Linked DNA regions of Oryzias latipes. The protein of the gene in region 1 interacts with the protein of each later gene in a pairwise test. Links are inferred from orthologs where the notes say so. Each region holds a gene or a part of one and is shown on either strand. Other genes may lie near its edges.

Evidence for each region.
Region 2: the proteins of washc3 (region 1) and beta-taxilin interact in binary tests that used the Homo sapiens proteins (3 or more experiments, as listed by UniProt). The two-hybrid records come from large-scale screens. The link is inferred for Oryzias latipes from reciprocal best matches to the Homo sapiens genes WASHC3 and TXLNB.
Region 3: the proteins of washc3 (region 1) and hsbp1 interact in binary tests that used the Homo sapiens proteins (3 or more experiments, as listed by UniProt). The two-hybrid records come from large-scale screens. The link is inferred for Oryzias latipes from reciprocal best matches to the Homo sapiens genes WASHC3 and HSBP1.
Region 4: the proteins of washc3 (region 1) and ift20 interact in binary tests that used the Homo sapiens proteins (3 or more experiments, as listed by UniProt). The two-hybrid records come from large-scale screens. The link is inferred for Oryzias latipes from reciprocal best matches to the Homo sapiens genes WASHC3 and IFT20.
Region 5: the proteins of washc3 (region 1) and txlna interact in binary tests that used the Homo sapiens proteins (3 or more experiments, as listed by UniProt). The two-hybrid records come from large-scale screens. The link is inferred for Oryzias latipes from reciprocal best matches to the Homo sapiens genes WASHC3 and TXLNA.
Region 6: the proteins of washc3 (region 1) and pre-B-cell leukemia transcription factor-interacting protein 1 interact in binary tests that used the Homo sapiens proteins (3 or more experiments, as listed by UniProt). The two-hybrid records come from large-scale screens. The link is inferred for Oryzias latipes from reciprocal best matches to the Homo sapiens genes WASHC3 and PBXIP1.

The regions. Positions count from the first base shown.
Region 1 is NC_019881.2:17,521,068-17,525,174, forward strand, and holds the start of washc3 (WASH complex subunit 3), read left to right. Parts: upstream 1-1,307; 5' UTR 1,308-1,456; coding exon 1,457-1,507; intron 1,508-1,823; coding exon 1,824-1,922; intron 1,923-2,608; coding exon 2,609-2,674; intron 2,675-2,765; coding exon 2,766-2,903; intron 2,904-4,055; coding exon 4,056-4,107. Other genes in the region: zinc finger protein 252, read right to left, coding at 1-68, 580-619. UniProt on the Homo sapiens protein: Acts as a component of the WASH core complex that functions as a nucleation-promoting factor (NPF) at the surface of endosomes, where it recruits and activates the Arp2/3 complex to induce actin polymerization, playing a key role in the fission of tubules that serve as transport intermediates during endosome sorting.
Region 2 is NC_019880.2:1,123,869-1,126,287, reverse strand, and holds part of beta-taxilin, read right to left. Parts: coding exon 2,320-2,419; intron 977-2,319; coding exon 885-976; intron 818-884; coding exon 647-817; intron 1-646. UniProt on the Homo sapiens protein: Promotes motor nerve regeneration. May be involved in intracellular vesicle traffic.
Region 3 is NC_019864.2:28,979,185-28,983,454, reverse strand, and holds hsbp1 (heat shock factor-binding protein 1), read left to right. Parts: upstream 1-1,470; 5' UTR 1,471-1,587; coding exon 1,588-1,632; intron 1,633-2,307; coding exon 2,308-2,374; intron 2,375-2,510; coding exon 2,511-2,635; 3' UTR 2,636-2,637; intron 2,638-2,720; 3' UTR 2,721-3,589; coding exon of another isoform or gene 3,590-3,692; 3' UTR 3,693-4,146; downstream 4,147-4,270. Other genes in the region: DNA topoisomerase I, mitochondrial, read right to left, coding at 3,590-3,692. UniProt on the Homo sapiens protein: Negative regulator of the heat shock response. Negatively affects HSF1 DNA-binding activity. May have a role in the suppression of the activation of the stress response during the aging process.
Region 4 is NC_019871.2:17,867,205-17,871,327, forward strand, and holds the start of ift20 (intraflagellar transport protein 20 homolog), read left to right. Parts: upstream 1-1,323; 5' UTR 1,324-1,456; intron 1,457-2,393; exon of another isoform or gene 2,394-2,507; intron 2,508-3,420; 5' UTR 3,421-3,428; coding exon 3,429-3,555; intron 3,556-3,623; coding exon 3,624-3,709; intron 3,710-4,123. UniProt on the Homo sapiens protein: Part of intraflagellar transport (IFT) particles involved in ciliary process assembly. May play a role in the trafficking of ciliary membrane proteins from the Golgi complex to the cilium.
Region 5 is NC_019869.2:26,633,968-26,637,971, forward strand, and holds the start of txlna (alpha-taxilin), read left to right. Parts: upstream 1-1,204; 5' UTR 1,205-1,332; intron 1,333-1,365; exon of another isoform or gene 1,366-1,382; intron 1,383-2,267; 5' UTR 2,268-2,272; coding exon 2,273-2,420; intron 2,421-2,882; coding exon 2,883-3,137; intron 3,138-3,223; coding exon 3,224-3,315; intron 3,316-4,004. UniProt on the Homo sapiens protein: May be involved in intracellular vesicle traffic and potentially in calcium-dependent exocytosis in neuroendocrine cells.
Region 6 is NC_019869.2:891,970-896,179, reverse strand, and holds the start of pre-B-cell leukemia transcription factor-interacting protein 1, read left to right. Parts: upstream 1-1,410; 5' UTR 1,411-1,745; intron 1,746-1,776; exon of another isoform or gene 1,777-1,941; intron 1,942-2,289; 5' UTR 2,290-2,345; coding exon 2,346-2,417; intron 2,418-4,210. UniProt on the Homo sapiens protein: Regulator of pre-B-cell leukemia transcription factors (BPXs) function. Inhibits the binding of PBX1-HOX complex to DNA and blocks the transcriptional activity of E2A-PBX1.

The DNA.
Region 1 (4,107 bases):
CACAGCAGCAGACAAAAGCTGGAGAGGGGGAACCAAGAGACGCAGGGATGACAGAGGCAAGCTGGGGTCTGAAAAAGAAAGGTGTGATGCAAAATATTGCCTATAGAGGGCAGTAATTAGCCTGTTTTTAGGCATGTTCATGCTACTACTAGAGGTGAAAAACCCCCACTCAAAAGTAGCATTACCTTACAAATAAAAAAATGATGTGCTGAATTTTAAATTTAAGATATTAAATTGTCTAAAAAAGAATTTTCTTAACCTTAACAAATGCTAAATTGGCGATGTGCCTTTCATGATCTGTTATGAAATTGAAATAAATGCTGGATTTACATCTATGTTAACGATTTAACATGGGAATATATTGACTGAAACGATTAAAATTCAACAACAATAAAAAGTACAACTGGTCTGTAAACGTAATGTATCACATAACAGAAAAAAACTACCTGTGATTTCATCAACATTAACAGTTAGCCAGTTTATACTCCACACCATTCCTTAAGTTAGTCGGGTCCCAAAGAGTATTTTCAAAGCATAAACGTGATTTACGACTACATTTATTAATCTGAATACACTTACGATTAGTTTGCTTCTTTGACCCAAAAACGTCCATTTGCATAGTCCAGCGTTAAAAGTCTGAAAATAACAGTAACTGTAAAAAAATATTTTTTATTGGTTTTTCTAGCTAACATGCGCTGTTGGGACGCAAACATCGTTTCCTCCAATGTTTTTGAGGGTTCCGCTTTCAAAATAAGAGTTTTCAGATTCAAAATCGAAAACATTGTTATGTAGTTTATGCATATTCGCAAATAAACACGAATATTTCAGTATGTATATTTTTTTATTTAAGATGGTATTGTTTTAAATGTATTATCAATAGATTATGTGCACAAGTTAAATGCCCAAAAACTAAGACGTTTCACCGCAGTGATAAAGTTGGTTGTTGACTAAACTTTATAGTATTTTAAACCAGATGTGAAATAACAGTGCTATAAAATGGAATTAGGGTTTTAAGTGTTGATATTTATTATTTAATCAATTTTAAACTTCAGATCCAATTTAATTCAATTTAATTCAATTCAATTTTATTTGTGTAGCCAAAATTCAAAACAACAGTCGTCTCAATGGGCTTTTCTACTCATTGACCTGAAAATATCCTTGTAGTTTTATTTAAATCCTCTCCATTCTTCTTGTAATTCTTTTTATTTAATTTTTTGTTTATTTTTCTATTTAGACACATTTTTTTAAAGTTTTCAAAATAAAAGCTGAAGTGTTAGGCCATTGGTGCAATATAGCGGAAGTGACAAGAGGAATAGGACGCGCTATGACGTAATTACGCAAGTCACATGAAACCTTCACTACAAACCTTTTTAATGTGCTGTTTTCTTTATTTACACCCCATGTAGACAGATTATAAACGATACTGGACGTTTGCGCGGAGTTTTAACGACCCAGCATGGACGAGGACGGTTTGCCAATCGTGGGGTCTGGAGTTGACCTCACGAAGGTTTGTGTTTTTTTTAGCTAACAGTCATGGTTCGCTTGTAGATCTCCGTGGGAATGAAAGAAGTAGCTGAAAGATTAGTCAAGTAAGACTTTATGGGATAATAAACATGATTTTAATCACATTATAATAGGATTCAATCAATATTCCCAACGATTTTGTATTTGCAGAATTATTTTTCGTGTTTTCTTTTACTTTAAAATGCATGTTTTTGTAAAGGCTGGCACTAAGCATGACTCTAAATTTCTCCAGAATCTGATAGGACTCGCTCTCATGTGTCATCGTTTTCCTGATTAAATGACTTTAAACTCCCTTCTAGGTTCCAGCTATACAGCAGAGACGAATTGTTGCCTATCTCAATCAGTTTGTTGTCCACACAGTTCGATTCCTGAACCGATTTTCCACAGTTTGTGAAGAGGTTTGTGCATCTTTTACATCGTTAAAGACCCACTTTGATGGAAATCCTGTATTTAACGTGTTTCTTGTGGGATTCATCTCAATATACTTAAGGGAATTAAGCTTACAATTGCATTTTTGAGTATTATTTAATTCAAATTGTTGTAAATCGGGAGCAGACGAAAAAATGCAGTTTGAAAAAGATTGTATTTGTGATGTAGAAAATGCGGCGGATGGGTCACAAGCTTCCTGCTCCTCTCCATGCTGATGCATCCATTTGTTGCAGACAAATAGATCCATGTATGTCTCTGTTTTCCCCGTCTGAACTGGAATCTGGCTCTAAACTGTACGGCTGGATAGCTCCAAAATTGCTCGCCATTTTTGTTGTCCTCTTAATGTCAGTTTACGGGTGTTTGAGGGGCTGTAAGCTTGGGGAGAGCATGTAAACAGATGGATGATAGGAAGTAGGGGCGGGCTTACTCTGCACCAACTGTCGAACAACAGTTTTTTTTTTGTTTTTTTTTACATTTTTGCCTAAAAAACAACATTAACATAGTTAAAAGACCAATGGAAACACATTCAATATAGATCAAAAGTTGATGATTGGGACTTTAAACTCGATTGACTTTGAATTTATCAGTGTCAAAATGTGTGAAGCCCTCATGGTGGGAACTCGATCAATCCAAAATATCAACATTTCCCCCACAGAAACTTGCAAACATATCCCTTCGCATCCAGCAGATTGATACCACCTTGTGCATTTTGGAGGCTAAGGTGAGCTGTCACACCCTTTTCAAATTGTCATGGATGTCATTTCTTTTTTTAACAAATGTTTTTGTTGTTGTTTTTTGTCTTTGTGGAGCAGTTGGCCTCCATTCCCGGGCTGGAGGAGGTCACAGTAGATGGACTGAACCAGCAGCACAGTGTGCAGACAAATGGGCCCACTCCAACCAGTCAAATCCAAACAGATGGGTCTTCAGTGGGAGCAGTTCCTTCCTCAGTGGTGAGTGTTCAGACTTGTTATAAAAAAGACACAAATATCCCAACCCCCCCTTCCCCCACAGTTTTTCACAAATTTATAGATTCAAACCTGATACATAAGGATTATGGTACATTCATATTGTGAAAGGTCGACCGATGATTTACCTTTTTACTATAGTTTTTTTTAATATATAATTATCTCTATTGATTTTCTTATTTTATTTTATGACAAACATGAAAATAATCCTAAAATAGCTTTACAAAATTTTTGTGTAATGTAGAATTCCTATGGGGTCAAATCCAGATCAACCTAAAGTGAAGGAAAAAACACAAAAAATAAAATTTAAAACTGTTTTAAACTCAAAAACAGATGTGAAAGAAATGTTGTAAATGTGAAAAGTATAATTGTAACTTTGAAAAAAAAAAAAAGATTTTAAACTTGAGAGGAATATAGAAAATTTGAAAAATAATTTTTTAAGTTGAAACTTAAAATTAAAAAGAAAAACTATAAACTTATAACTGTTACCAAATGAAAATTAACATATATTTGTAACAGCTGCTGTTTTGTATTGATGTACCAAACTTTGGGAGAGAATTATCACTACTGTTCGCCACATCAGAGGAGGGATGACACAGGCGGCGCCAACAACTACCGCTGTTGTGGAGCGGAAATGACATCATCATACCCTTTATGACCTGATGTCAATCATGTCCAGGTAGCCAATGGGCTCAAAGCCCCAGATAACAGTCAGAATTCTGAATTGATGACAAGTTTAGGTTTATGTTAAGTTGAGAATGTACTTTTATTTACTTATTTATTTTTTAAAATTTAATTTAATTAAAATAACCAAAGTGTACTTTTGAATTTAAAACTGTTCACTAATTTTCTCAATTGTTTTTAATTTTACTTTGTGGTTTTTCATTCCCTTCAAGCTGATCTCGATTTGACCCACATATTTCTCTTTTGTAGTTTTGAAATTTCCAATCTTGCTTTATTTACACAACAAATAAGGAACCAGTTAGTAATATAGACTGAATAGCAGGGATCTGGTTGCCTGTGTGCGTTACAGAAACATTCTGAGCATCTGTTTAGTGTACAGATATTATTTTCGCCATATTCATCAGGATTATAGTTTCCTTTAAAGCTGCTTTTCAACGTTTCTTCATGCTTCAGCCTCAGGAGGCACGACAAGAAGCTCCTGAGCAAAAAGCAGCAGCCGTTGCAG
Region 2 (2,419 bases), on another chromosome or scaffold:
ACCGACAGCTGAACCTCCCCTCTGAGTATTTTTTAATTATTATAACTGTATTCTGCTTAAGTATAGTTTATATTTTCTACAACGTCAGGATTTTTCATTATTTCTTTTATGGCATCAAATGTTTTTTATGATTATTTCTGGGACTTCTTTTGAAAGTTTTAAAGTTGTTTTTTTAAGATTGGGGAAGGATTTATACGGCTTTTCTTCTACCTGGTCCTTTTTGAGCACCTTTTTCCTTCTGATTAGTCAACGGCTTTATTCTGTCATTAGAAATCAAAGGAAATCAGATCAAATGTTTTCCTTTTGGGCCTTACAGAAGCAGAAAGTTTCCTTCTTGAACCTTAAAAACATAGAAAAACATTGTTTTAATATTTTGTTTTAGTATCTTAGAGATCACCTCATTTAACATCAGTGGATCAATCAAACACTGATTTCATAATTTGAGGATTGATTTCAATGTCTTTGTTTTAAATTCTATCTTTTCTCTTCTGTCTGTCTGGTTGTTTTTCTGGTTTAGTTGAGGATTCAGGAAGTTGAAGCTGTAAAATATCTCCTCCTACTCCCTGTTGGAGATCTCGAATGACCGTCGGCGTCTTGCTCCTCTGACGGCTCTTGAGCAGAGACTGGACCCCCCCGGCCGGTTTACCTTCAGAGTCTTGTTGTGTCTCTGCAGCTCCCTGCAGAGCCCTTCCAGTTTGCTGCGAGCCAGCACGGCCCGGCTGTGCTCGCCCTGCAGCTGGTCCTTCTCCTTCAGCACCTGGAGAAGTTTCTTCTGCAGAAGCTTCAGCTGCTTCTGGTCACTGCGGTGCTCCTCCAGCTGCAGACAGGTTAGCATGTTAGCGTGTGTGTTGGCGTCAGCCCTCACCGGGGTCAACCTTCCTCACCAGCTCAGCGTGCTTCTTTATGATGGCCTCCAGCTTCTGTTCAGGAGAATCCAGTTTGTTCAGACTCTGCATGAGCAGCATGGCTTCCTTCCCTGAACAAACACACAATGTTAGGGTTATTTGACCCAACAACACCAGGAGAATCATTCTGCAGTGGAAGAGAGGAGGACATTTGTCAACTGTCCTGGGTTTATTTGACTCAGAGGAACATCTCAAACTCCAAGTACCTCCGTTGACCTCAGCACCACCATATGAACCGCTGTTAGGTGGTCCACTTCAGTCCCGAGAGCTCTACAGACCAGAGCAGTGTTGTTCTGATAAAAAAACTTCTATTTCAACTGCTGCAAGTTGGAAATACAAACGTTGGTTTCAGTTTCTACTTAAAATCACGGGAGCTCGCTGTTGCGCCAAGGATACATAAACTCAAATGGAGTTGCGGTTCCTTAATTGCAAACGCGTGACTCTGGCGCGACACTCGCAGAACATGAGTTATGTGAGATTAACCTTTTCGTCTCTATTCCAATTCCGTTGAGGTCTCCATCCCCCTAAGAGAGGGGCAGACTTGGTTTAACCCTTGTGCTGTCCGAGGCACGTTAACGATGGGAGTTGGGTCATCTAGACCCACTAGACAGTGCACTGAACCTTTTTTCTTCAATGATTTGTGATCTTCACTGGTGTCCATGAAATCCTCTCCACCTTTGTTATGGTAGGGAGAACACGTCAATGTAAGGGTGGGGTCATCTGGACCCCATAAGATAGCACAAGGGTTAAAAGGCGGGAAAATGCAGGTAAAGTCTGGTTCGGTCTGCTCTGGTCTGTAGAGCTCTTGGGACTGAAGTGGACCACCTAACAGCGGCTCATATGGTGGTGCTGAGGTCCAAAACAATATCTGACCAGGATGTGAACCATGGAGATGTTTGGTCATAATTCACAGCTCTGTCAATGACAAAAAACTGGACTAGGAGATCGTTAAACGGAAAAACCTCCAGACAACTGTTAAGCACAGTGGTGGAAGTCTGGTTATCTGGGCCTGTTCTGGACCCGAAGCTCCCTAAAGCTTCTGTGAGGTCAACCATTAACGTTTGAACTTCAAGTTCAGCCCATTGAACGGAAATTCCTTCAGAAAACAGAATCTTTACACGGCGGGTGTTTTGGCGGCGCTGTGGTGGACCGGCGAACTGACCGGGTGAACCCGATAGCAGCTGGACAGACCAGCAACTAAACAGGAAGTAGCCAGTGTAGAAAATGAAGGTATGGATGGAAGTTTGCTCTTTGACCTGGTTCTGACCGTTAGAACCTTTTAGAACCAAATGGTGAGAATTAAAGCAGAGGATGTAGTCTTCCTTTTAGCAAATACTATTCCACCTACACACACACTGCACTAACAGCATTTCTTTAGTCAAATAGGCTGAATCCAACACGACGAAGAAAACACCTAGATTTTTCAGCATTTTCTTCTCCAGTTTCTGGTCCTTGCGGCCGTCTGCCTCTTTGGCGGCGGTGACCTCCTCTGCATCCTCTGGCTCAGCTGGAAT
Region 3 (4,270 bases), on another chromosome or scaffold:
AATCCAATGTGCGTTACAAGATCATCTCCACATTGAATCAGGTTTGGAACTCACACACACATGACGGAAAAAAGAAATATTCAACACTGACATTCCTACACAGCAGAAATGTGGCTCTCTAAGGGAGGGGTCTGCCAGTCTGCAGATAAGTTTAAACTGCAGACAGCATCTCGTCTTACTAACAGTTTCACTGCAGCTGCTGTGGACACCGATAGTTGAGTTACACAGATGACCTGCCTGCTTTCAAAACACCCTTAAAGCTTTAGCTCCATACAGCGTACCCAGGGACTTTCTCCCTTGTGTTGTGCCTACAAAAGCATGAGGTGCGCATGCCAAGAAAATACAGGGAGGTTACAAAGGAGGTGGGAACATTTTTTTAAAGTATAACTTGACAAAGATTTCATTCAGAAAATCGTGCCAAACTCAGCTAAGACGTCACCACTGCTGTAACTTAAGCAGCGCTTAATTTTGAAAAGACAAGAACAGCAGCAAGACATTAAACACCAAACCTCAGCATTATGGCAGGAGTTTGAAGAGCAAAAGTCACGTCTAAGTTACATATAAAGCTCAGTAATTGTTTGCTTCTGATAAAAAAAGTTACAGGTTATAATCAGTTAGACTAGGCACAAGCCTGGAGGAAGTTAAAACCCGTTCTAAGGGAACCTTTGCACAATTTATTCAGTACTGTGAGGCTTCTGCTATTTCCTTTTGTTTATGTGTTGAAAGTAAACACTAACAATGGAAGCTGAAATGTACCGAAGCTTCTTAAAAGAGGAAACTCAATGTTATGTAAGCGGAGCATATTTTCACGGGGTAGGGCCAGCAGTGCCTGCTTCTTCATGTCACTCAGGACTTCCACACACATCCATGCCGGAGCTGCTGCTCCTTTGGGACAAACTCAATACAGCTGCAGTCTCGTTAAAAAAAATAAAACTTCAAGAATGATGCATAAAAACCACGTGGTAAGCCTGAGTTTAAAGCAACCGTGAAGTTTCAGCCTATTGCACGCGTGCGTAAATCTGAACTTTACGCAAACAGCCGCATTTCTGATGCACAACAGCACCGTCAGTTTTCTGCTTTACTCACCGATCGCCTTCAGTCCAACAGAACTTTGCCGTCTCCCGCAGTGAATTCGGCGTGAAAACCCGCCGAGTTATCCCGCAGCTCCAACTTTCAAATCCCAACTCGCTGAGGAGGAGGAGAGACGTGTGCGCGCATCCCCACACACACACGGCTGCGCATAAACACACACAGGTCTAGAATTTCCGCTTCAATCTTACAGCTTCATGTTTTTCTTTTCATCTAAACATAAGAACGTCAACTGATTTTTCAAATGTGTTATTATTTTATAAATATACATACAACCTAATGTTTGTCGTCAATCCACAGCATTATTTGTATCGAAGGGTTCTGCAAATTCACCGATCTCAGCCCATGAGCAAATCTCGCGAGACTTGCCGTGTTGTGGCACAGCTGACTCTCCCGTGGGTGGTACAGGCGAGCAGAACCTTGAGGCTAAATAATCGAATATAAAGCGCCTTAAATTTAACCGCCGTGAAGGTCCGGACATACAGTTTTATTCACACCATGGCTGAAACAGATCCCAAATCAGTGCAGGACCTTACTAACGTGGTGAGTTTGGACCGTCAAGCTAGCTAGGACTAGCTATATGGATGTAGCTAGCAATGCTAACTATACTGCTAACAAATCAAATGCAGGTTGCATCTAAAGGAGTATTAAGTTTGATTCCTTTTTGCCTTTTCCCCCTTTGTTTTACCACTTGACACCTAAATTCTGATCGATCTCACTAAATATTTATTAGTTTATCACCATATAAAAGACATTGTTAGCTGATTAGCACTTCATCCTGACTAATTTAATTTACATAAATCTTCTTTAATCAGCATTTTCAATAACAAGTATATGAATTTACATTTTTATTGTAATAATAATAATCAGCAGTTCTCGCAACACCCAGGTTACTTCTGTTGGTGTGGATACCAATAGTGTTGCCATGGAAATGAACCAAAACTAAAGGTCTAAGTTGCACCTCTACCTACTAAATCACAGACTGTATTCGATTCTTCTGAAACATTAGGTGTTGATTAGTGTGTTGACTGGAAGATGAAGGTCTTAGCTCCTTTTTAGTGGTTTTTCTCTCACATGCAGCTATGTCCAGAGTGGGGTATGTGAGGAGGGGACTGAGAGGGCGGGAAGCGCTTTTGGGCCGCTCACAGCTTGATCTTGTACTGTTTCTTGTTGGGTTTGACAGATTAAAGTTTGTGGCCTTCTTTTGTTTTTCTAAAGGTCCAGACGCTCCTGCAGCAAATGCAAGACAAGTTCCAGACAATGTCAGACCAGATCATCGGGAGGAATATCCTTTTTTGAAAGCCAGAGCTCTGATGGTCGTCTTTACATTTCTCATACTCTACATCAAATGTCCCGGTGTCTTTTTCTACAGGACTCCAGTTTGCTTAGAAAAAAAAAAGATTTGCCTTAACAGTGTCCACTTGATGAGATGAGCACACGAATCGATGACCTGGAGAAAAACATTGCTGACCTGATGACCCAGGCTGGTGTGGAGGAGGCCGAGGCGACACCAGAGAAGCCGAAGGAGAGCCAAGGATCATCATGAAGGTGAAGAAAAACGGTCTACCCCTGTAGAATTTCTTTGTTCTGGTAGATTTCCTAATCAGCTTTATTTTCTGTCTGTCCCACAGGGTCAGAAATGATGTGAAGTCAAAGTTCTTTACCGATGACTTCTGATTTGGTGTGAAATGCTTTTTTTAAATATATATATATATAAAATGGTTTAACGGTTTACAGTTATGTCATGATGTGAGAAGTGGAGTAGTAGTAATCTGAATTAGTGTGACCTGCCCTTCAGAATTGTGTATTTGGTGCCCTGACCTGGACGTTCGAGCCGCCAGCGTCGGTTCTTCTCTCCGGTCCGTGCTTGGTAACGGGCCAGCAGAACCTCATCCCAACACGATGAACCGCGAACACCCGGAGCTCGCAGCGCAGCACTGTTGGCAACGAGATGCAGAATGCATTCCATTTCTGATTTTCTATTAAAGCGATGTACGGAGCAGTTTCTCCTTTTTGACCAGGTGCTGATAAATAGACCACGGTGCTAAGAGTTTCTACATTTTCTCTTATGAGGCAGAGTCGTCTGATGCCACAGACCTTTCATAACTACTGAATTCATCCGATCTGCAGGTTCAATGCTCTTTGTTGTTCATGAATTTGTTGGATTCTGACGTGAAATGAGCAGAATTGGAAATGTGCCACTTAACGAGTGTATAACTAAGATTTTGCCAAATTGAATGATTAAAACATCCCTTATTTTACCGCATGGTAGGAACCTTTATTCAAGTGTATGCAAACAAAATGTAACAGACCGTCTTCAAACCAAAAGTAGCAGTAAACATCCATTAAAGTGCAGCTTGATTATTGAACTGCAGTAGTAGAACCTCAGCACTTCATAAACATCCCCTCAATACAATATTCATTTACTCTACATGGGATAAAGCAAAAGGTCCCTGAGCTGCCACTTGGTGTGAGTTTATACGTCTGTGGAAGTTCAGTTTCAGAACTCGAAGTCGTCCTCCGTCATGTCGATGGCCCAGGCGAACTTTTCCCGTTGGGTTTTGTTGTAGATTTTTTCTATAGGCACCTCCATGTTCTTACACCTGATTAAAAACAAGAACAGAAAAGCGTTCAACCACAAACAACTGAGTATTACAACTGCAGAAGAAAAGTCTTAAACATACAATGGGGTGAAGAGAAACCTTGAGTTTATCGTCCTGAACGTTTTTCAAGCCAAACTTCACCAAATCGTTGCAGAAGAAGCATTTCTCATCTCTGGTTTAGCACCAAACCCCACTTTCCTTTGGTACAAGCAGCATTTCTATGAATTCTGAAGTCTTGGAACAATTGGCTGATCTCTATAGAAATCAGGTCGGTCACATGGTGAAACGTCAGATCAGTAAACTGGAGGATCTGTTGTCTGAATGAGATCAAGTGACCACAGATCCTAAGAGCCCAGAATCAAAGTTAACGGATGGAATCTGGACATTTCAACACTGCAGCCTAAACCAGAAACTTAACAAAATGTGTTCTTTACAATAAAAATCTATTAAAACATTTCTGTTTTTGGGTGTGTGTACGAGCTGGATTCGCAGTAAAATAAGGGTTTGAGTGACGGGGCTGTTCTGCCCACTCAGACGTTTCTGAGGATCGCTGACGACCATCAGACCGAGCTGGAGGT
Region 4 (4,123 bases), on another chromosome or scaffold:
TTAGGCAACAGTGCCAATAAAGTCCAGGTAAGAACAAACCAGGTAAATCGTCCACCAATCCACACCATGAGATAATCCAGTGCAGAGCAGTAATAACAATAAAAACAAAAAATCTAACAGTGAGCAGCAGCTACAAGACATATCAGGATGAAAGCTTCCTGATCTATCTGAGAAGCCTCCAACTACATTGACATGAACCTGAGCCAGCTTCACAATCCGCCTCAGCTGAGCATGTTTGTAGCTATTAACAACTCCAGCAGCACTCAGTAGTTCTCCGATTCCCCCCCCCCCCCCCCAGCCATAAAACTCCTCCATGTTTTCCATGAAAGGCCTAATTAACAAATGCATAATTTTTTTTTCTATCTCCTGCAGTGGAAGTCTCAGAGAAGAACTAGGGGATGAACAGATACAGGATGAAAGGTTTTGACGGAAAGGTGTAATATCTGAGTAATGCTGCAAAAAGGGGACTTTTGGGACAGTGTTCTTTAATAAAGCGTTTAAATGATACTGATAGTTGTTGATCTGATTTTCTAGTTTTTTCCTGCTTAAGAAAGTTTTTTATGCAGGAAAACATACTCTGAATGGGATATATTTTTTCTTTAGTGTTTGTATTAGTTTTAAATTTAACACAGCCCATAAACACCTTGATAAAAATCTACGATTTTAAGGTATGTACTACTGATGAAAGCATGTGTGCATCCTCTTTGTATGTTACACTTGTATTGATTTTGTGTCATATCTTGCATGTGACAAATTTGCAATTGGTCAAGAAGGGGAAAAGAGAGATGTCAGTTGTGCATTTTTTCCAAAAAAAAACATAAAACAGTATTCCATGCTTTCATTACATCCCCGTTGGATCACTGTAACAATGTATCTCAGGCAGATGGGCTCCCCTCTGGCGCCTCCAGCTGGTCTAGATAGCTGCTGCTCATTTCCACTTGAAGTTTCAGTGAAGCCACATCATCCATGTCTGTACATTTTAAAGTGTTCTTATGAGTGAACGAAAATGTCTTTTAAAAAATGTCTTATCATCTCAATTCATAAAGAACTAGTTGGTTCTTTGAGCTTATCTCTTCATCCAGTCATGACGTTTGAACTTGCGAAAGGAACCAGACTTGTCTAAACTTCTACCGCTGGGTGGGTCTACCTACTGGGGTGTTTAGCCTAACCTGGTTTAACTATGAGGATGAACCTGATGATTGCACGCGCACATGGTGGCTTTAAAACTGACTGTAAATTGATTCTTGTTTTTAAATGAACGATAATATCAGAAACACGTGAAAAAGACTTCTCGAGAATGTGTACCACCAGAGGTCGGCGGTAAGCTAGTGCGCACGCGTAGTGGCGCTTTGTGCGGTTGCCTTGGTAGCAGGAGGAGGAAGAGGCGGAACGTCTTAGTAGGACCCCTTATGAGGAGGACCGGAGCCGTGCAGAGTAACGTCAGGGGTTTATTAAGGTGAGTGTCCGTTTCCACAACCAAAGTTTAGTTTACTATTCTTTACGAATGGTTAACGGAGGCTAACAGCTGTTAATTTGTCATCTCCTACGTATTAGCTCGTTAGCTGTTAGCCGCAAAAAATCGAAGAGGGGAAAAAAAGATGGTTGAGAGGTTCATACAACGTGTACAAACACTTCTGCCAAAGTCTGAGACTGTGGAGCTCCAAGTTTAGAGGCATTTTTTGAGGTCGCCGGGACAGAAAAACTCAACGTTCTTGTTTACTCAGATCTAGTCTGAGTTTGTTGCTTATTTATTCATTTATTTTTGACGTATTTTCTTACTGTAGTGTAGAAAATCGATGCTTGTGACGTCACCCATAGATTTTTTTTTAAAGAAAACTTTATTATCTAAAATACACAAACAATGTGTGCAGATTAGTCACCAAAACAATTCTTGTGGCATGGATTACAGCTTTGAACGGCGCGATAATCATTTAACGTGGTTAAAAACATGAAGGGGGGTTGTTTAGGTGTAAATGTAGAAATTAAAATAAATAATCTTCATTCATTGAATTGGTGCTAAATGGACTAAGATTCACAATAAAGATGAAAACAATTTGTACAGTAACACTACCCCCCCCCCCCCCCCCCGAAACCAGGAAGTACCCAACACTGCAGTGCTATGAAAGACCGCTGGAGGCAGCATTTCACTAATTTTAATGTTTAAAAGTCTAGCCCAGCTCAAAAACTAAACAATGTATATTTTGTTTCTGACGCTTTTTGGATGTAGAGAGGGTATAACAGAGCCACACAATTACGCAAACTGCCACAAACACTTCATTATTATTGTTATTATTATTATTAATCAGATTAATCCATCCTGAACTCATCTGTTCAGGGGGGATGGAGGTTGGACTGCACCAAGGATCAGCTTTAATCCTTTTTGTTTGCTGTAGTGCTAGACAGACTGACAGAAGGACTGACAGGAATCTCTGTGGAGCGTGATGTCTGCAGATGACCTGTGGATCTGTAGTGAGCGCAGGGAGCAGAAGGAGGAACACTTTAGAGAGGTAAAGGTTTGTTCAGGAAAGGAGAGGAATGAAGGTTAGCTCCAGAAAGACTGAATGTGTAAATGAGAGGAACTAAAGAGGAACGGTGAGGTTACAGGGAGCAGAGGAGAAGAAGGTGGAGGACTTTAAATACATAGCTCAGAGGTGAAGAGGCGTGTGGAAGCAAATTGGAATGGGTGTAATTTGTGTGTTATTTTTATTTGCTAAAACGTTATTTTTGTAAAAGCTTTTAAGCGCAATTTTAGAGTTTTGAATTTAAATAAACATCTGTTTATGCGGTTTCGGAATGTTGGACAGACATCTTCATTCCTCCATTTGTTTCTGAAAACTTTTAACACTGACTGAAGGTCTGTTCATAAGCTTCCAAGTACATAATACTATGGTAAATTATATTATTTTGTCCTACTGGACTGGACTAAAGTAATGCAGTTGCGGAATTTATCTGTTGTGTTAAAGAAATAGACAAGCCAAAATGCAAAGCTTTCAAATTACTTCTCAATCTTTGTCCTGTAAGGCAGTAATTGTATCTTTCTAAACTCCTGCTGGTTGTTAACAGTCCATAACTGGACTTGTGGCTGACGCTAGACATCACTGGACTGTATCAGCATGTTTGGTAACTCTGGTACGGTCAGTAAAGTATTATGGTGAATGGAAGAAACGGTAAGCATCAGTCCCAAGTCCTTCAGTGTCCGTTACATCCAAAAGGATAAAGTCAAATCTAGCCTACATACATTCATCCATATGTGAAACAACTCTTTATAATAATTTTTTCATTTTAAAAGATGTTTTTTTTCTTTTTAGACTTTATAAAGAGTGTTTATCATTGTGGATCAAACTCCTGCGTCTGTCAGGTGGTTAAACTGGTGCTGAGTGTTTGAGGAGTTTTGGAAATAACACAATATTTGACCCACAGGAGACTCCATGGCTAAAGATCCGTTGGCTGAAGCTGGCTTCCACTTTGACGAGGTAAACAAGCTGCGGGTTCTAGAGCCAGATGTGAGCCAGAGCACGGCGGAGCTGAAGGAGGAGTGCAGAGAGTTTGTGGACAGTAAGAATCCACGGATCTGTTGTCCACCCCGTCCCACCCAAAGCTCCTATAGGTCTGTGTCTCTGCAGAGATCGGACAATTCCAGAAGATTGTGGGCGGTCTCATCAGCACAGTGGACGGGTTGGCCAAGGAGGCGGAGACTGAAAAGATGAAGGTGAGGCTCCCCTCTTCTCAGGTTAGGTCAAAACCTACAGTTCATCAGTGTTGGCAGTTATAGTTACCCAGTACTTAATCCTATAAGTAATAGATTTAACCAGTTGAATTATTCTATAATAAAAGTAACCAATTTTAGCAGGAAAAAACTATTTACTTCACATTAAAGAAAAACTGTTTTTTGTAGATTTTTTGGACCAGTTTTAACAATTCAATTGGAATGAGTAAAATAGACCCAAACTTTTATTTAACATTATTTACATTGGAGGAACTCCAACACCTTCTGGTAAGCTGCCCAGTTTCCTCCTGACAGACATGTTGTGGTGGAAAAGCTGCTGGAGCTGCGTTTGATTTACTGTTTTTAGTTTATGTCAAACATTCAGTAACCCGATCAAACAAAAACTGCTCCTCATTG
Region 5 (4,004 bases), on another chromosome or scaffold:
GCGGTTCTGTGAGGAACCGGGCCGTTCCAGTCCAGCGGCAAGGACCCCTGAAGGGGAGCGAACACAAATCTCAAAATGATCTCATTGTCTTCCGTCCTCCACTCTGTTGGTGTCCTTTTGAAAATCTAAAGCCATGCTTGGCTCAGTCAAGTGATGTCTATGCTGCAAATGTTTACAGTGCTGTTTGTAAGATACTTTGACAAACGGACCGGTCCCGGTGGATTCTCTGCTCTGGTCGGCTGTCTTTGACTCATATTTATTTTCTCTTTTCTTGTTTATATATAATATATAGTTCATGTTTTTTTTTCCATTTGCTCTAAATTACCCATCTTATACTGTGACCCGACTCGACTTTACCGACTGTAAGAATGAGAGACTAACACACTTCAGCTGAACACGACACACAAACATGAACACACAAACAGGAAACTGCAACATGCTGTAAAATGTAAAGAAAATATATGGAATTTAAAATGTTCCGAGAAAATACTGTACAAAACAAATAAAGTTATGTTGCAACCCTTTCAAGCTGGTTGGTTTCATTTCTCAGTCGTGTAAGTCTGTTCCCTTTGAACCTAAATACGGTTCAGGATTTATTACGCCTTTATTTTTACCCTGTAGTCTGTGGAGGAGGCGTCTGGATGAAAGTTCATTCCACACTTAGGATCATCTTCAGATTCTGACGGGTCTACAGAAACACTCAGGAAGCCTCAACAAGCTCACTTCTGTCTGTCCTGATTGGACAAAAGGAGTTCTTCTGTCAAACTACTGCTTTATTTAGTTTATAATTCAGAAAAAAGACAACGCAGCTATGAAAAAGCCTGCCCCTTTTCTATATGAAAATATAAATCTAATTTGATTATTTACAGGTAAACATGATTTAAAAATGTATACTTTGGATTTTTCCTCTGGTTTATTTGTTTAAATATTTCCAAAATTCAGTTTTACAAAAAAGTACATTATTTAAACGCGGAAATAGTTGAAAAAATATACATTTAAAATGTGCTCACTCTTGGGGGTGAATTTTATGCATCACTTAAAGTTAGTTTAATTTGTGAATACATTTGATTAGAAATGCTTCCATCTCATAACTGAGTTTATGTTTTAACAAATAGTTGTAGATTGTTCAACGTCTGAGGTTTGAGGCTTTGTTTCATTATTCCTGCACTTCCTTCCTTCATCCAGCAGGTGGCGCCAAACTGCAACAGCGACATGAATCTGACGCGGAGAAGAAGAATCTAAAGTTATGAGCGGAAGTTAGCTTCAGTCTCACGCTGAGATCGAAACCTGAAATTCTGAGACATATAAACAGTTTCTTCCCGCAGTCTTCAGGTAGGCACCTCGGCATTACCTACCGGCGTGTGGTAGAAACCTATATACAGGTAATCTGTCTGTCTACGGCCATGTCGCTACCGGGCTAAGGCGGACAGGTATATTAACTAACGACGCCAGCCCAGAGTCATCATCAGATCATCATGTTCGTTTAGAAACATCATGTAGCAGCTAAATATGCTAATTTAGCCTAAAACTGGAGAGATCCTCTCAGGAAATCGGTGTCATACGAAGCTGTCGCTGCGTAAGATTTCAGTTTCACAACCAAAAAACCAGAACATTCATGTTTTCCCCAAATGACAATTTGTACACTTTGTTAATCTGCCGAACCTTTGTGCGCAGGCGCAGTGGGGTGGTGGGGTTAAGGTGAGCCAAAGAGCGCGCGTGTGTTTACAGCGAGTTTAAACTCAAATGAATTTGGACTTTTAATCTGCTTTTCTTGAGTCCAGCTGCAGATTCTGCGGAACTTTAGTGAACATGGCCGTGTGTCAGAACCAAATCCATGGAGAACAAAGAAAGGATCTAACAACACTGGACACGTAGTGACGTACGCTGGCGATGTTCCCTGTGCCGTGGACAGTCAGTTTTGGTTTTAGAAAAGCATTGTGGAAACTGGAATCTGTATAATCAAAGCCTCATTTGGAATCAGCGGTCAGCAGTGACACCTGGTTGTGGGTTTGAATCCAGCACGCTGCCTCTGGACGTTTACCTGACCCCCCCATCATGAGTGCCTGGCTGAACTGCTGTCTGATCTGCAGATGTGGTTCTCAGTAAAAGAAGGTTGTTGATTTGAGTTCCGTCTTCATGACACAAAAACAGGTTTAAAGTCCAGTTATGGGAAACGACGACGTGAATGTTTAGGTTTATGCTAAAACTGTGATTTCCTGCATCTCACCGCCCCTCACCAGCCATCTTTGTCCTCTTCAATCTTTCAGCAGACATGAAGAAAGAAGACACGGAGGAGTCTGCCAGCCCGGCCTTTGAGGCAGCTGCACCCCCACCTGCAGATCCGGAGGCAGCTGCTAAAGGCAGTCCGGCCTCAACGAGTCCTGAGACTGATACCCCACCACAAAGCCAAGGGGGAGGAGGTAAGCGGTGCCCTGCGAGGAAGAGCATTTGATGAAGAGTTATCCACGCTGAGCATTCACTGAGTAAGACTGTGTTCTCCTGGGAGGCTGAAGTTTGGAGGTTATCAGAGAAAGGCGCCGTGGTGCAGGTGCCGCGGTGCAGACGCAGCTGTGCAGTCGACCCGATGCAGTTGCTGCTGTGCAGACGCCATTGTGCAGTCGCCCCGGTGCAGTTGCTGCTGTGCAGACGCAGCTGTGCAGATGCCGCCGTGCAGTGGTCATGAATGTAGTCTCATGCTGCTGCCTGATCAAAGTCTCAGATACCCGTCTCAGCACTGACAGATCAACCTGATGATGTCACACTAAAACACATGATCATTGGTTGGAATAATCAGAATCAGGACAATTATCGTTACACCTGTATGTCCATCACAACATTTCTGTAAGAACTTCAAAAAGAGAAATGATCTGAAATGTGTTCAGACGCAGAGGCTGCCATGTCTCAGTCCGATATGGCAGACGAGCTGAGCCGGCAGCTGGAGGACATCCTCAGCACCTACTGCCGGGAGTCAGAAGACGCTGGTGCCTTGCTCAATGGCCAGTCGCACAGCCTGGTGCTGAACGGGCTGAACTGTGAGAAGGAACACGAGAAGTCTGAGGACAGCAAAGTCAACGGCGGTCACAAGTCAGAGAAGGAGCAGAAGAAGACTCAGGAGAAAAAAAAAGTCAAAGGTTTGGGTGAGGACAAGATGACGTTGTCTGTTTTCAAACAGTTCTGTTCTTCTAAAGATGGCTCTGACGCTACTTCTGGTTTTCTTCTAAAGGGAAGGAGATCACCCTTCTGATGCAGACGCTGAACACCCTCAGCACTCCGGAGGAGAAGCTCACCGGCCTCTGCAAGAAGTACGCTGAACTGGTAAGCCGCTTCTCCAGATCTATGTGACCCCAAACAAACCCGCGGCTGCTGGAATCAAACCCACGGCTGCCGGAATCAAACCCACGGCTGTTGGAATCAAACCCACGGCTGTTGGAATCAAACCCACGGCTGCTGGAATCAAACCCGCCGCTGCTGGAATCAAACCCGCGGCTGCTGGAATCAAACCCGCGGCTGCTGGAATCAAACCCACGGCTGCCGGAATCAAACCCGCGGCTGCCGGAATCAAACCCGCGGCTGCCGGAATCAAACCCGCGGCTGCCGGAATCAAACCCGCGGCTGCCGGAATCAAACCCGCGGCTGCCGGAATCAAACCCGCGGCTGCCGGAATCAAACCCGCGGCTGCCGGAATCAAACCCGCGGCTGCCGGAATCAAACCCGCGGCTGCCGGAATCAAACCCGCGGCTGCCGGAATCAAACCCGCGGCTGCCGGAATCAAACCCGCGGCTGCCGGAATCAAACCCGCGGCTGCCGGAATCAAACCCGCGGCTGCCGGAATCAAACCCGCGGCTGCCGGAATCAAACCCGCGGCTGCCGGAATCAAACCCGCGGCTGCCGGAATCAAACCCGCGGCTGCTGGAATCAAACCCACGGCTGCCGGAATCAAACCCGCGGCTGCCGGAATCAAACCCACGGCTGCCGGAATCAAACCCGCGGCTGCTTCTAAAGCT
Region 6 (4,210 bases), on another chromosome or scaffold:
TCAGAATCACATTCAAAAACCTTTAAAAAAGCAATGGTCCACAGAATAATTGCAAATCATTTGGATTATTTTATTTTTAACGCTTAGCTTAGAGTGTGTACCTTTCTTCTGACATGGTTCAAACACATCTCCATACGTGGTCCATGAGTTTAAAATATCAAAGGTTTAACCAGCTTTGTGGCGATGCGATACAGTCCAATTTTATCATAAACTTTTTTACTAAAATGGAAACAATCCACGTCTGTTATTGCACTATAAATGAAATGCGTCTTAACAGAGAAACTCCTTGATTTTATTTTTAAGTAACAAAAAAAGAGTCTAAAGGACATAAGTGCTTTAAAAGAGTCAAACCTGACATTTCGGGTCTTTCAGACGGTCTTGTCCGTTGATGTCATATCAAAGTCTGTCATTACTTTACTAAAGCATGTTCGCAGTGCCGTGAAAAAAGGGTTATCATGTGTTTAGTGAACATAAACCTCACTGTGGTTCACCTTCTGCCAATTAGGATTGGTAAAAACACGCGTGTGATTGAACATGTTTGTTTGCATCACACATACATGCACAGACAGTAGAGACACAACAGGAAGACAAAGGTTACCAGAGACTGATTATTTACTTCTGGGTCAATTTGATCCCTTTGTACCCAACAATCTTGTCAGTTTCTGTTGTTTCTAACCACTCTTAGTATTGATTTGTTTAAATACATATCTTATCACTTAGATGCCGACCTACTATTCAAATTCAATTTACCGGTCTCTATAAGAGAAAAGGGATTGTCTGACTTGTTTGTTTTATTCTACAAAATAACTTGAAACCAACTTGATTTCAGTAAATGTGGACAGAAAAGTGAGGTGTGAGCTTTCTTCTGTCACAGCAATGATTTCTAGAAGAAAAGACGGCTGTGGCGTTCCTGTACATTCATGAGTTGGTTTATATTGGGGCAATATCTTGGTTGTTTAGCTCTAAATGACCCTAAATGGGAATGAGGGATGGATGGAATTACAGTGAGGGAGGTTCTGACTCCCTCAGAGGACTCCTGTGTGTTGAGTTCCCACTAAAAAGCTTTATTACGGTTCAGGAAAATCAACGTTCTACTTAAACATTACAGTTTAATAAAAGGCCGAGAAGTGTTCTCATGGAAAAGGATGTCTGCTTCTTCTTCTGCTTCTTCTTCTTCTTTTCGCTGACTGATCCTGTCATTTTCTGACCCTGTGGGTTTCAGATGATTGACATGATGACAGAAGTGTCTGCAGAGGAGAAATCGGAGTGCAGGGGTTCTCCACGGGGGTAAGTCCCACAGTCAAATATAGTTCTGCAGACGTGTCAGTCCCGGGCTGGACCGGGACCTGCTCCCACCCGCCTATATATACATGTGGAGGGAAGGAAGGGCCCCCACGCCACGGCGCGCGCTTTCAACCAAACCCACCAAGAAGAAGAAGAAGAAGAAGAAGAAGAAGAAGAAGAAGCTCGGCCTTCACCTGCCGTTTTCACCTGGATGCGTCAATCACGCTGGCCTGCATGTCGTTCTCCGTGACACCACGTGACCGTCTGATTGGCCCGTCAGTGGTTTGGGGGCGGGCGCTCCCAGGCGTTTGCTGAAATCCCATTGGAGGACAGCATTCAAGGTTGATGTGACGCAGCTTGGAATTCCCAAAGTTTTCGAGTTCTCTGGAGGAGAAATCTGTTCTCCTTTGGCAGAAAAGACCCAGGAAAAGGTTCTGCAGAGCTCTGGTCCACAGGAGCAGGTAGGACCGGGTCGGCCCGGGTTGACAGCGCCGCTCCGGGCTCGGAGGAGGAGGGGGGGATTAGCGCGTGTTTGTGAGGCGCGGGGCTGAGCGGGGACACGGAAGTGCGGGATTGGGAGTTTTTGGGCTCCTTTGTTTATCTCCGGGAGTGAAGGTTCAGACCGGTGCAGGTTCTCCAGGGAACCCCGGTGGACAGGTGAGGATGGCGTTCTGCGCGCTCTCGATCAGCGCGTTCTCGCTCCGGTCGATAACGGTTTATTGGATGAATGGATCATGAGACAGAATGATCGATTACAGATTTATTGGAAGAAGTCCAGATGTCTGCAATGTTCCGCTGCGCAGCAGCTTCATACCATGTTGCGTAACGACCACCGGCCGCTTATCCGCGGTGCGCAGAGCAGCTTAGCGCCGGTTACGTAACGGCTTAGAACCCCGCGCACGCTCCGCCGTCCGCTACCGTCGCGTCTGGAGCGGCAACCGTGAAGTCCCACAAGGCATCTCGGCTCTGGTATGTTAAACTGAAGGCTGCTGTTGTCATGCGCAGAACATCCGAAAAGCCAACCAGCCTCCTGCTGTACCGATTCTGGCCTGAAGGGGGCGATGTCGGACAGCAGCAACAGCACCGGCAGCAGCGGCTCCTCAACCAACAGCTGGACCCTCCTCTCTCCCGAGGTGAGCAGGGGCGGAGTCGCGATGACGTCACCTCAGGTTCATGGCAGTACTTTTTTTTTTTTTTTTGCTTTATTGAACACAATACAAAACAACACAAGAACATTTACATAAAATTAACAAAATATGGCGAATACAAGAAATAATACTGCAATTTGAAAGGAAGCAAAAAAACAAAACAAAAATTCTTATCAGTATGCATATATAAACCTGTCCATAGTCATAATCATAGAGAAATTAGGGAAAAGTATAACATAAGGAAACAAGAATTCCAGAGTTGGATTATGTTATAATAAAATGCAGGGGGGTACAACAGATAAATAAATGGTCTCGAATATTGGGAATTTATCAATATCTACTATGATGATCAGCCAGTAACCGTGTTCATCTGCTATATGGGACACAATTTTGTCTTGGAAGTTTTGGAGAAGTACAGCGACCCCTACTGATCTGGAATTGCCATGACGGAGGAAACCTTGTCCCCCCCCATTGCTGACACCAAAATGATTTATCTGCATTTGTAGAGTGCGTTTCTTGTAAAAAAAAATCAAAATCAACATTTTTCCCTTTACAAAATAAAAAAAAAACAAAAAACAAATAAACTTTTTCTCTTTGTTAGATCTCTCAGACCTCTTGCATTTAAATAAAGTAAAGAAATACCTGTTTTAAGGTGCAACATGTAACAAAAAGGCAAACTTAACAGACCTAAATGAGGCTGAAAGTATTACTGAACAAAAACTTTTAAGCAACAAAACCTTGAATTTACAATAACCATCTTAACTAAATAAATTGCAAGACTAACTAAAGTCATGGAATGACTCTCTGACCATTAATGAAAGCATAAGGACCACGAAACATTGTCTTACAACCATTCTTTCTCGCCTGCTCAACTTTGGGCCACACCGCTTTCCTTGCCTCTCTGTCTTCTTTGATGAGGTCTTCTGCAAAGCGGATGTTGAGGTCTGGACAGACTGGATGGTGTTTAGTCATTCGCCACAGTTCGTCTCTGTATCTCCTTCCTGTGAACTGAATGATGATTTGACGAGGGCGGTTGACGTCGGTTGGGCCCAGCCGGTGTACCGTGTCCAGAATGTTGTCCACTTTCTCTGTCCAGGGTGGTGCGATCTTTGTGATGAGATCTGCCACAATTCCTCCAGTGTCTTCCCCTTTCTCTTCTTTACCGCCATTTAGTCTCAAGTTCCATCTTCTCTTGTATCTTTCCGATTCCAATGTTTTCTTTTCCATCTCTGATGTTCTCTGCTCCAACTCCACAGTTTTCTCTTTCAGACGTTTCACTTCTTCTTCCAACTTTTTATTTCTGTCTTTACATTCTTTGATTTCAGCAGAGTTTAATTCCACAGCCTTGGCTATGGTGGATATAGTCAGAGTGTTTTGCTGCAGCTCCGACTTAAAGTCCATCATCATGCCTTTGAGGCTTTCAATTGCAGCCAAGATTGCGGCGTTTGAGGCTTCTCCTGGTCTGAGAGAGCGGGTTGCATCTGGTCTTAGCTTGTTTTGTGGCGCAGCTGGCTTCAAAGGTGATGCCACGCTGTTTTTTGTCCCCTTAGCATTTGTTTCCATGTCCTCAGGCGTGCAGTAGTCATGTGGAAACAGCATTTTAGCTCTAGCATTAGCTGTAGCTTTAGCATTGGGTTTAGTAGCCATGCTCGTATAGTTATTGGGCCTGTTAGGCAATCTTCAGTTGGCTCCTAAACTTGCTTTGTTTTATCTTGATATCCAGTGGAGAGTCGGTTTTGTAACTATTCCGTCCTAAAGTAACATTTTCAAGGTTATGT